3 linked regions of the Sus scrofa genome follow. The protein of the gene in region 1 interacts with the protein of each later gene in a biochemical or structural test. Links are inferred from orthologs where the notes say so. Each region holds a gene or a part of one and is shown in the gene's direction. Other genes may lie near its edges. The genes, in order: TLN1, ITGB1 and ITGB3.

Evidence for each region.
Region 2: the proteins of TLN1 (region 1) and ITGB1 form a complex in vitro, tested with the Homo sapiens proteins (3 studies listed by BioGRID and IntAct, with this or other methods). The link is inferred for Sus scrofa from reciprocal best matches to the Homo sapiens genes TLN1 and ITGB1.
Region 3: the proteins of TLN1 (region 1) and ITGB3 form a complex in vitro, tested with the Homo sapiens proteins (6 studies listed by BioGRID and IntAct, with this or other methods). The link is inferred for Sus scrofa from reciprocal best matches to the Homo sapiens genes TLN1 and ITGB3.

What each region holds. Positions count from the first base shown.
Region 1 is NC_010443.5:236,426,740-236,430,385, reverse strand, and holds part of TLN1 (talin-1), read left to right. Parts: intron 1-81; coding exon 82-175; intron 176-276; coding exon 277-366; intron 367-482; coding exon 483-605; intron 606-2,434; coding exon 2,435-2,578; intron 2,579-3,052; coding exon 3,053-3,214; intron 3,215-3,449; coding exon 3,450-3,590; intron 3,591-3,646. UniProt on the Homo sapiens protein: High molecular weight cytoskeletal protein concentrated at regions of cell-matrix and cell-cell contacts. Involved in connections of major cytoskeletal structures to the plasma membrane.
Region 2 is NC_010452.4:56,127,608-56,132,010, reverse strand, and holds the start of ITGB1 (integrin beta-1), read left to right. Parts: upstream 1-1,499; 5' UTR 1,500-1,642; intron 1,643-4,403.
Region 3 is NC_010454.4:16,714,167-16,717,812, reverse strand, and holds part of ITGB3 (integrin beta-3 precursor), read left to right. Parts: intron 1-1,451; coding exon 1,452-1,547; intron 1,548-1,970; coding exon 1,971-2,060; intron 2,061-2,722; coding exon 2,723-2,857; intron 2,858-3,646. UniProt on the Homo sapiens protein: Integrin alpha-V/beta-3 (ITGAV:ITGB3) is a receptor for cytotactin, fibronectin, laminin, matrix metalloproteinase-2, osteopontin, osteomodulin, prothrombin, thrombospondin, vitronectin and von Willebrand factor.

The sequences.
Region 1 (3,646 bases):
AATAGCTAGAGACATCCCTCATGTACAAGACACAGAAATGATGACCTGTGCACCCATCCATTCCGCTTTCTGTTCCTCCAGGGCTGTGACCGACAGTATCAACCAGCTCATCACTATGTGTACCCAGCAGGCGCCAGGCCAGAAAGAGTGTGACAATGCCCTGCGGGAACTGGAGGTGGGCCCTGGAGGCCCAGATGGGGTTGCGGTTGAGGAAAGTGTTCTGGGTTCGGGGGTGACAGGGTGTCTTGGATCTCACCTCCCCCTCCCCCTCCACAGACGGTCCGGGAACTCCTAGAAAACCCAGTCCAGCCCATCAATGACATGTCCTACTTTGGCTGCCTGGACAGTGTCATGGAAAACTCAAAGGTAAGCCCAGCCAGGAACCCAGGAGAGCAGATGGCAGGAAGATGGAACTCACCAGGGGGGCTGCTCTGCCCCTCAGAGGACAGGATCTGACTCTCCTGATACCCTCTGTCCCTCAGGTACTGGGTGAGGCCATGACTGGCATCTCCCAAAATGCCAAGAACGGAAACCTGCCGGAGTTTGGAGAGGCCATCGCCACAGCCTCCAAGGCCCTTTGTGGCTTCACCGAGGCTGCTGCACAGGTTATTCTCCTGGGAGGGGCCCCCGGAATGCTCCTGCCTTCCCTGCCCCTCCACACACACACACACACACACACACACACACACACAGACAGAAAGCCCAAAGTTCCTGCCTTCCCTGCCCCTCCACACACACACACACACACACACACACACACACACACACACAGAAAGCCCAAAGTTCCTGCCTTCCCTGCCCCTCCACACACGCACACACACACACACACACACACAGAAAGCCCAAAGTTCCGCTTGCAAAGCCCACTCTGGGGTAACCAGGGTTCTTCTCCGCTCCTGAAGGAGAGAGATCTGTCAGCAGTCATAGAACACCATCAGTTCGGCCCGCCATCAACCCTGAGCCCCAGAGCTTTGGGTTATGATCACACACTCCCACAACTGGGCCTTCTCCAGCCCTGGCCTCCTTAGTGTGTGCTGATGCGCATATGCAAATCACTTCATGTAATTAATACTTGGTACCGGAGACCAAATTCCTGGTTAGTTGAGTCACCACTTAATTTTGCCTTTTTCTACACTACGGTATGAAATAATCTATTAGTGCTGAGAGTATTTTATATTGATATATGAATTTTTTTTTTTTGGTCTTTTCAGGGCTGCACCCGCAGCATATGGAGGTTTCCAGGCTAGGGGTGGAATCGGAGCTGTAGCGCCGGCCCACACCACAGCCACAGCAACGCTGGATCTGAGCCATGTCTGCGACCTATACCACAGCTCATGGCAATGCTGGATCCTTAACCCACTGAGCGAGGCCAGGGATCGAACCCACAACCTCATGGTTCCTAGTCGGATTTGTTTCTGCTGCGCCACGACGGGAACTCCCTTAATATATGAATTCCTAAACTGGCTTGAGAGTTCATCAGCTAGACTGTTTCCCTGAGAGCCTGTCATCCTGCTCTTCCAACCTCCCCTGCCTCCCTCTGCCCTGGGCTGTTGGGTGGGCCTCCTTATTTGGTTTGACTTATTTCTGGAAAAGCATGAAGAGGAAAAAGCAAAGCTACCATGTGTTGGGTGAAGTAAGAATCAAACCTTTAATCATCTTCCAGTCAAGAATTATTTTGGCGACTCTTATACCCATCCCTCCCCTCCTTCCAAATCTCTGAACCTTGGAGTTACGGTAAATGTTAATTAGCCTAACACTCTCCGTGGTTTGAGAACTGTCTCTAAAAGAGACTTGGGCGGGGGGAGGGGCTTTCGAACTTTTTTCCCTGCCCCTTGCAGTAAGCAGTATTTTTCACCTTAAGACTCAGCATACATACACATGCACACCTAAATAGAATTTTGATAAAAACCTTACTATGTGACTTTCCTTTTTAAAAAACAAAAAAAAAACTGGAGTTCCCTTCATGTCTCAGTGGTTCCGACTAGGAACCATGAGGTTGTGGGTTCGATCCCTGGCCTTGCTCAGTGGGTTAAGGATTCGGTGTTACCGTGAGCTGTAGTGTAGGTTGCAGACGTGGCTTGGATCCTGCATTGCTGTGGCTCTGGAGTAGGCTGGCAGCTACCCCTCTGACTGAACCCCTAGCCTGGGAACCTCTATATGCCGTGGGAGCAGCCCTGGAAAAGGCAAAAAGACAAAAAAAAAACCACACAAAAAAAAAAACTTTTTTAATCTTCTGAAATGTTACCATATTTAACAAAGCAGGAGAGGTTTTTTTCTTTTTTGAAATGCAAGTATAGCTTGTTGCTATACCTCCACTCACATAGAACCCTGGCCACTAAACTTGTCCCCACTCCCCTTTGTCCCCACTGTCGCTGTTCAAGTCCCACCTGAGGACTATGCCTTACTCCTCACCCCACCTCTTCTCTCTCCCCAGGCTGCCTATCTGGTTGGTGTCTCTGACCCCAACAGCCAAGCTGGACAGCAAGGGCTGGTGGAGCCCACGCAGTTTGCCCGAGCAAACCAGGCAATTCAGATGGCCTGTCAGAGTTTGGGGGAGCCTGGCTGCACCCAGGCCCAGGTAACCCAAGGGGACAGGTACTGTGGGCAAGTCTGGGAAAGGCTGCCGAGCCAGGACGGCCCAGCCCCTTGGGGGGCGCGGGTTGCTGCAGGACACGTAGGGAAGGAGAGGGCAGAGCCCCACCTCTGACTTTCCACATGCAGCTTCTCTGGCTAATTGTCTCCTCATGTTTCTCACTGTCCCTTCGGTTCCTGCCGGGTTCGGCCCTTCCCTGTGGACGTCTGAGCTCACTCTCCTCCCGAGCCTGTTAGGATTTCTCCATTAGCGTGTCAGCTTTTCATCTTCCTTCCCCCACACCCTGTTCATCCATACGTCTTCTGCCTTCCAGATCTTGACTTTTCTGGTGACTCTGTCTTTCCTAATTAGACTCCGAAGGTATTGCTCTCCATCCCCCCAAGCTAAAGGGGCCCCTCCCTGGGGTGGGCACTTCCCTCCCGCCCTCATCATGGCTCTTCCCCGTTTCTGTCTCCTCAGGTGCTCTCTGCAGCCACCATTGTGGCCAAACACACCTCCGCTCTGTGTAACAGCTGCCGCCTGGCTTCTGCTCGTACCGCCAATCCTACTGCCAAGCGCCAATTCGTACAATCGGCCAAGGAGGTGGCCAACAGCACAGCCAATCTTGTCAAGACCATCAAGGTTCCGTGTTTGAATTCTCAGCCTGTCCCTGACCTGGCCAGGCTTCCCTCCCTGGACCCGATGTCATTCCCTGAGGCCTTTTGCCAAACCCACCCGCCTGAGCCCAAGGCCTTTCCTGTCCACGCTGGTCATCACCAGCCTCTCCCCACACTCGTTAAAACCTGGAGGGAGACCCGGGCCTCACCGCCTCTGCCTACTGTCTGTCCTGAGGGCCCCCCTGTCACTCCCACTGCAGGCACTAGACGGGGCCTTCACAGAGGAGAACCGTGCCCAGTGCCGAGCAGCAACGGCCCCTCTGCTGGAGGCTGTGGACAATCTCAGCGCCTTTGCATCCAACCCTGAGTTCTCCAGCGTTCCTGCGCAGATCAGCCCTGAGGTGAGGCGGTGTGAAGGGAGAACTGATGGCCCGGCAGCCACCTCATCTCCCCAGAG
Region 2 (4,403 bases), on another chromosome or scaffold:
TGTTAAATATATGTTCTTTCTTGGATTCTTTTCCGTTATAGGTAGGTTACTACAAGTTATTGAATATAGCTCCCTGTGCTATAAGTAGGAAAATTGTTGTTCATCTGTTTTGTATATAGTAGTATGTACATATTAATCCCCAACTCCTAATTTATCCCTTCCCCCACCCTTAACTATAGGATTATTTTCTGAGTCTGGTTTGTTTTGAAACCAAGTCCATTTGTATCCTCTTTCAGATTACACAAATAGGGAAACATGATTTAGTCCGTTAACTTTGGTCATCTATTAAACGGGAAAAATCATTCCCATTTCTTTAGAGGTTCCCAGAGATTACCTAACCAACAGATTTGATTTTGCTGGTAAGCAATGAACAAAGTTTCCATAGATGGGATTGTGTGAGCTTCTTTTAAGGTTGGCAGCTAAATGGGCATCGCGGCTTCTAATCTCCCCCAAATGAAACACTACTTCTCCATTTCACAAATCTCATAATTCGAGTTCTATTCCCAACAGGGTGCTCCAGCTCACCACGTGGCGAAGCACATTTTCTGCTAACAGGATGGCAGCCTGCCAGCAGCATAGTCAAAGTGACTGGGTTTCAGTATGATGCCGGTTGGCACAGGTTTCATTCCTCTGATTAAGAAGTGCCCAGCCTTGCTCATAATGAAATGTTTCTCTTCTCGTGTTTTAAACGTCCCTTCTTCTGCAGCCCCCCAGCCCACCTACTAAAAAAACTGAGGATAAACGGAAACCGTATCAAGGAGGAAACTTCCTTCTCATCCGCGTTCCCCATAAACGGACGTCCAGATTAACCTAACAAAAGCTGCTCTCCAATTTACTTTTTCTCTAAAACTTTTCTCTTTCTGGGTCCCCATCTCCTCCCTAAGTCTCCCCCTTTCTCAAAGACGTAAGTCAGGCAAATCCTCACGCCAGAAAAATACTGGCTTTAGCTCCTTCCCTTCCAAAAGGAAAACGTCTTGGGCCCCAGGAAGCCCTGCAAGGTGCGTGATTAAGTGTCTTGATTTGCGGGAGTCTCCGGCGGCTCCCTGGAGGCAAGGCTTCCAAGGTTCAAAACCAGGCAGTCCCGGGCAGGACAGACGTGCGGCCTTAGGAAAGCAGCACCTAAGACAAGGCAGGAAGAAGGCTCCAGAACTTCTCACGGGAGGAGATTAAGGCGCGCTGGGCGGCGCAGACCCTTCCTCCCTGGGCAGCTAAGGAAACTGAGGCACGGCGAACGCTGCGGCAGAGACCCCCACCACCGGCGCCCGGCAGGCCCGCTCCTTTGTCCCAGCGGCCGCCCTCCCCGCCCCTCCTCCACCTCCCACCCCGCGTCCCTCCCCCACCCCCGCCGCGCGGGCGCGGCTGACGCCGCCCGGCAGGAATGCGCTTCCGGAGGGAGAGGGCGGCGGCGGCGGCCTGAGGAGCTGGATTGCCGCGCGGAGGAGGCGGTGCCGCGGGGGTCGTTTCCTGCCAGGAGGCGGCCCCGCGTCGCCGAGTCTCCTCCTCCCGCCCGCGAAGGAGGAGGAGCTGCCGCCGCCGCGCCCGCGCCGCAGCCGGGGAGGCCACGCCAGCCCTCGGACAGGCCGAGCGGGAGTCGCGGAGCGCTGGTGGAGCCGACCGCGCGGGCCGGGCGCCGCGGGAGAAGGTGGGCGCGGGCGGGCGGCGGGCTGGGTGCGCTGCCGGCCCGGGGCCCCGGGGCGCGCGTGGGGGCCGCGGCCTGGGGGCGGATTCCAGCCGTCGGGCGGGGGAGGAAGTCGGGCCGCGCCCGCTCCCGGCTTCGCTCTCCGACTGTCCGGCCGGGGGAGGTGGAGGGTGCGGGCCGGCCCAGGACGCTGTCCGCGGGAGGCCGCGCTTGCGGAGGCCCGGGGCCAGGATCCGCCGCTCGGACACCCGCTGTGGGCGCCACCCCGCCGGCTGGGCGCCGACAGGCCTTCGCGGGCCGGCGTCCTGGGAGCGGCCTCGGCCCCGCCGCCTTACGCGGCGGGTCGCGCGGGTGCCGGGCCTCCGCGCGGGGACAGCTCCGCCTCGGCTCCAGCTCTCCGGCGTTGCTCGGAGAAGGGGCGCGGGGTCGGGCGTCCTGTGGGCCCCTTTCCCCCCGAGGCTGGTTGTGGGCGGCGGTGCGAAGGGCTAACCCCAGCCGCTGCCTGATTCGTGCGGTTGCTTAGGCTTCATAACAAGTCGTATTTTTAAGAATGCCAGTATTTAATGCCCAAGTAATTCTTGTTTTATCGGATGTGTGTTTTGGATCAAAATCTAGCGCTGGTTGGTTTGGTCCCTAGTAAATTAGACTCTTTAAGGTTCCATTTCCTCTGCTGTAAAATGGGAGCAATACCGACACTAATAAGAAAACGTAATTGTTATAATAACGGCATAAGTGAGGGCCATGCTTAGCTCTACACACTTCACCTGTATTTTCTCGTTTAACCCTGGATCTGAGCCGACCAGGTATATGCTGTTTTTATCCCTGTTTTCCAATTGAAACCGACACACCAGGAGCCTGGGTGATCATCCAGCTGTAGTGAGGAGAACCCATGGGGTCTAGCAGACGTTGTTTGAACCACAAGTAACCTTGCATAAGTACCGTGTAGTGAAAAGCTAATGGAAAATGGAAAACACTTAGCTTAGAGTAGATGCTCAATAAATATCAACTCCTTTTCGTTCCTTCTTGTTTTTTTTTTTTTTTAAAGTATGCCTGTAGTTGATAGCATCATTAGTAAGGCGTTTTGGAGTCTGCGTTCCACATAAATATTTAGGGGAGTAGAGTTACTGGAATGTTATTTTTTATTGTTTTGGTGGTACAAAAATAACCAATGCTAAATGTTTTGATGAGGCATCTTTCTTCAACTGCATGCAGCCTTTCCAACAGGTTGCATAAATAGACCACTTGAGAAATGATTAAGGGATTTTAGTTGCAAGTTACCTATTCTAAGTCTGTGAATATCAAGGCCATAGGGAGGGTCAGGGCTTATTTAAGAGTCCTACTGTAATGTTCATATTTGAAAATAATTTTAGTCCCTTGTTTAATAATAAATGAGTGAAGAGGATTAATAAATAGAAAACACGTGAAACAAATCAGTGTTCTGGTTATAGATGTCTGAGGAGACAAGACATTTTACTCACCCTAAAATTCAGTATAAAATGGAAGATGTTAGAATGCTAGTTTAAAAGATAGGGGATGTGGTTAATACTTTACTTCTGTAAATAGAAAACAAACTCCAAATCAAGTCATCTGTGTTGAGGTCACAGACCTAAACATTTAAGCTTTTGTAATGTTGATTCCTTTTAGAAGAATGTTAAAAAATACTCTATATTAAGATTGTTTTATAATCCCGTCAACATCCTGCATGTGAAAAGAATCGAATCAGCAATACTGAAAATCACTGGATTCAGGTGGCTTTTTCCTCAGTTTTCTGGTCGGTATAATTAAAAGCTGCCCCAAATTAGCATCACATGTATTTCTTTAATGGGGTGGATGAATTCCTAACTCCTGGAGGGACTCTGGGGCTGTAAATAGTGAAAATCAGTTTAAGGTGGTGCTAGTTTTCATGGAATGATGGCCACTTAGTAGCTTTATTGTTTGGTTTCTTGCCAAATTGTGGCTTCTATCATCAAGGGGTAATATTCTATCTGAAGGAAATATATGTTTTTAATTATTTCACAAGGACACTGGTTTGTTCTCTGCTGGAATGATGAGAGGACACATCTCTCTGGTAAAAGTTTCAGAACTTTTGAGTTCTGAGAATGGACATTTCTGAATGTGTAAGAAATTGAATTAGTTATCTGAGAGGATTCATAGGGACTGATTGCCCCACTCTGGATGGAGAGGTAGGATCTGTCTGGTTGTGAGTAGATTCCTAGAAGATCATATTGTGCACGTAGGTAAATGTCTTGTTGTATTAGCAGGTCTACTCTGACTGTGATGTGTTGTGGGGTTTTTGTCCTTTTATATTGTTGCACAGGTGGGGGTATTGGGGTAGGGAGGATGCGCCGACAGGCGTGAGAGTAGGGAAGAGTATATTAGTCTTTAGAACCTGAAATGATAGCAGCATCTATAGCTGTAGAAAACTGCATACATTAAGAGTATGTATCTAGGCTAAAGGAAGTGCAATCCCTATAAACCCCAGCCTTAGAATATTTCAATAGATGAGTGAAAAAATGTAGTATATCTTTTTCAGAAGATGTATGCAAAAGGAGCCAAGCTATACTTTGTGAATTTCTCATCTTTTTTTAAGACTAATTATCTTACACAGAGTTAAGTTTTATATATAAAATAAAAGTCAACTGCCTTAAAGCTGTATTTTTGGTTTGTGGCTTTAGAAGACAAGGTTAACTGTATCTAGCATGGTGCTGAAGCATGTGTATATCATGTCATCATGTAATGTGTGAAAAACTGCTTTGAATATACC
Region 3 (3,646 bases), on another chromosome or scaffold:
TCAGGTTCTTTATGCCTCAGTGCAGAAGGAATTCAGCAAGAGACAAAGTGATAGGCAAGAAACAGATTTTTTAAGATAGGATACTTGTAAGAGATGCATGCAGGTAGGCAAGGAAGCTCTGCCCCCAGGATCTCATGGGTTGCAGTTTTATAATCCAAGGGGAGTGGGGTGTTGGAAAGGCCCACCTCTTCCTTGTTGGGAGTAGTAGCTCCTCCTTAGTATCCAGTAAGGTGTGTATTCAAATCAGCTGAAGGGCGGTCCTCAAACTCTTGCCCTTGGTTTGAATCAGAATGCAGGCCTCATCCCTCCCCCACCCAACGACCTGAGGCAATTCTTGCACCTCCACTAGTCAAGCAAGCCTGCCTTGTTCTGGTGGCTTTCTTGAACTTATAGTGGTCTCCCAGCATCCCCCAGGTTTCCCTCTTTATCTGCGATCCCCTATTGGGACTTCTACAACCACCTGTGCCTACTCCATCCCTATCACTTTGTCTTTTAAAGACAGTGTAGCAGCTACTTCATCTAGGTAGCTTAAAGGTACACCTGTGTAAAGGCAGGAGTCTGAGCTGGATGATCTCATGAGTCCCCTACAAGGTCCAGGATCTTAGGGACATGTTCACAGTTCACCAGCATTCCCACTGTGGCTTGAGTTCCTTGGTGTCAGCCATATCCAAGTTGAGTACAACTAGGCAATGGATGAGTCCATAATCATTGACACCTTGTCTATGCAGGGCCTTGCCAGGGGATGAGGCAGATAAAGACACTATATAAGGTTCCCAGCCTTAGAGAGTTTTTGGTTTAGTTGAGATGTGGTACCAGTAACACAAGATGTGGTACCAGTAACACAAGATGCATGGTTAATGCTAACTGGGTAGAGAAGTTAGTAAGGGCTTTAGGTATTTTAAGGAGGAAAGCTCATCATGAACTGGGATGGAACTGGGAAGGCCTCCTGGAGAAGGTGGGACCTGAGCTGGGTCCTAAGGAAGGAGGAAGATTAGCAAAAAGCCCACTCCAGGTGGGAGGATGAAAGTGGGCCAGCTGAGTGGTAAGTGGAAGGGGGAGAGAGGTGAATGATTGGAAAGGAAGGTTGAGATCGCATGACAGAGGATTGCGAGCACCAAGCCAGGGAATTTGTCAGTAGCTGCAAAACAGAAGGAAGCTTCAAAACAATGTGGCCTGGCAGCACCTGGCCCACAGAAGCTGCTCTTGGTGTGAATGCATCAAATTCAAGTAAGAAGAAGGTGCTTAGTTTTGGCACCACCAGCCTGTACCTCTTCATTTATCTCTGGAGTTCACAACTTACTTACTTTGTGTTTGCGTCACGCTGATTATGGGTGAACAAGTTTAAGCCTTACCATGGTCTGAGCCACAGCTCATATTAGCTAAGACCTAAGAATTCAGGGATGTATGTGAAGAGACGTCTTAACTAACCTCCACACCCTCCCTTTTTACAGGATTATCCCTCTCTGGGGCTGATAACTGAGAAGCTATCCCAGAAAAACATCAATTTGATCTTTGCAGTGACAGAAGGTGTAGTTAGTCTTTACCAGGTGACTTTGCCCTCCTGGAGCGGGAGTGGGGCCTGTGATGGGTGGACCTGTCTCAGGGAACCAGTTCACAGTAGCTTCGGCCATGGTACCCAACCAGAAAAGATCCAGGAGCTGATAATTCCTCCTGGTGGCCTCTCTTCTCGAACCTTGAACCTAGCAGGGTGGGGGTATTGCTGTTTGCAGTGGTGGAGGGAAGTAATTTGGTGGGTGGGTGAGAGTGTGTGTGTATGTGTGTGAGAGAGAGGTTCTCTGTAATTTTTCTCAGGGCTGAAAAACTGCTAGATTTATTCCTAGCAGTGACAAGTAAAACATCCTCCCTTTTCCTCAATTTTCATTTCAAGACCCTCAGTCTGATTTGGGGAGGGCTTTTGGAGACCACTACCTTCATCCGTCATCCCCGGACATCTTTGTCTTCCTTTCTAGAACTACAGTGAACTGATCCCAGGGACCACAGTGGGGGTGCTGTCCTCCAATTCCAGCAATGTCCTCCAGCTCATTGTGGATGCTTATGGCGTAAGTGTCTTATGCCAGGAATAGGCCTGCTAAGAGTCCTTTTTACTTGGTGTTACCCTGGAGGGCTCAGATTTGAGAGTCCACCACGCAGCCTTCCCTGCCTTCCTTTTGTTCTTCTAGAGGCCATGTGATAACCAGCACTGGGAGGAAGGCAGCCTTCTGAGACAGAAACGGCTCAGAAAGGAGTGCCAGGGAGCCTTCGGAACAAAGGAGGAAGGGCTTAGGGAAGGTGGAAGGGAAAGTGGATGGGGCAGGTGAGGTACAGAGTGAGGGAGAGCTGGGCTCCAGCAATAGAGAAAGAAGGCAGCTGAACCACGGGGAATGCGAGGTCGATTAAAAATTATGTAGAAAGTGCTACTTTCCAAGGTGACCAGTGTTAGCACTCCAGTCTTGCATGACCCTGAGGCCTGCAGGAGGGCATAGCTGCTTTAGATTTTACCCAGATTCATCTAGACACAAGTGGAGAAAGAGCAGGTCCTGGGCAGGAAATAGAGCAGGAAATAGGGTCCCAGGGAAGCTCTGGCAGCTTCTAGGTGAACCTCAGCACCGGGCGTGACAGGTGAGTCTAGGACCACCTGGCAGGTTTTGCTTGAGATGGAATTGGCTCCTACTCATTTCATCTCAGCCCATTTTCTTATCTTCTCTTGCCCTTTTCTGATCAGAAAATCCGCTCTAAAGTGGAGCTCGAAGTGCGTGACCTCCCTGAGGAGCTGTCGTTATCCTTCAATGCCACCTGTCTCAACAACGAGGTCATCCCAGGCCTTAAGTCTTGTGTTGGACTCAAGATTGGAGACACGGTGAGGTGGGCTGGGTGGGGGCTAAAGCTGCAGCTTTAACCCTCCCTGTGCCCTGGAGTGTCCATGGGTACCCACCCATTCCTTCCCTGTACCTTCTTCCTGGACATCCTTACAAGTTAGATGTGGTAAAGCTGCCAGCCTTCTCCTCTGAGGCTTCTATTGCCTAATTCTTCTCTATCATTAAGTAACTTCAGGATTTTGAAAAACTTGTGTTTACATTACCTCTATTTATGCACCATTGATTGCAAATGAAAATATTTCTTACTTTCACCCTGCAACCAGTCTCCAGCACTGCACCCCCTGCAGTATATTTCTTTGCTTCACAGCATAAAATGACAGGGTCCTCTAAATACTTAGTGAGCACCGACTTTGTGCCAGGCATTGTTCTAGCTGCTGATGATTTGGCAGCAAATGGAATAGGCAAAAATACCCACCTTCATGGAATATCAGAATACAAATGTCCAGTCCCTCTGTGGCTTTCCTTTCTTAGTGGTTGGTTTTCTTCTGCTCCTGCCTTAGAGGAGAGGGGATGGTGAAGGGAGTGGGAAGAAAAAAGGGGGCTATCTATAGTTATATGATTTATATCATCTCTGTCTATATTTCTGTCATCATCTATCCATCCTTCCGTCTATACATTCTAGGTACGTGTGCACTCACCCTAGCAAGAGATAGTGGCCTGAAATGTATTCGATTGCACAAGCGATGAAATGTTATTCGATTGCACAAGCGATGAAATGTTAATGTGGCAATTGAACAGTAGACCCCGAACCTGTGGTTGGCTACTGTGTG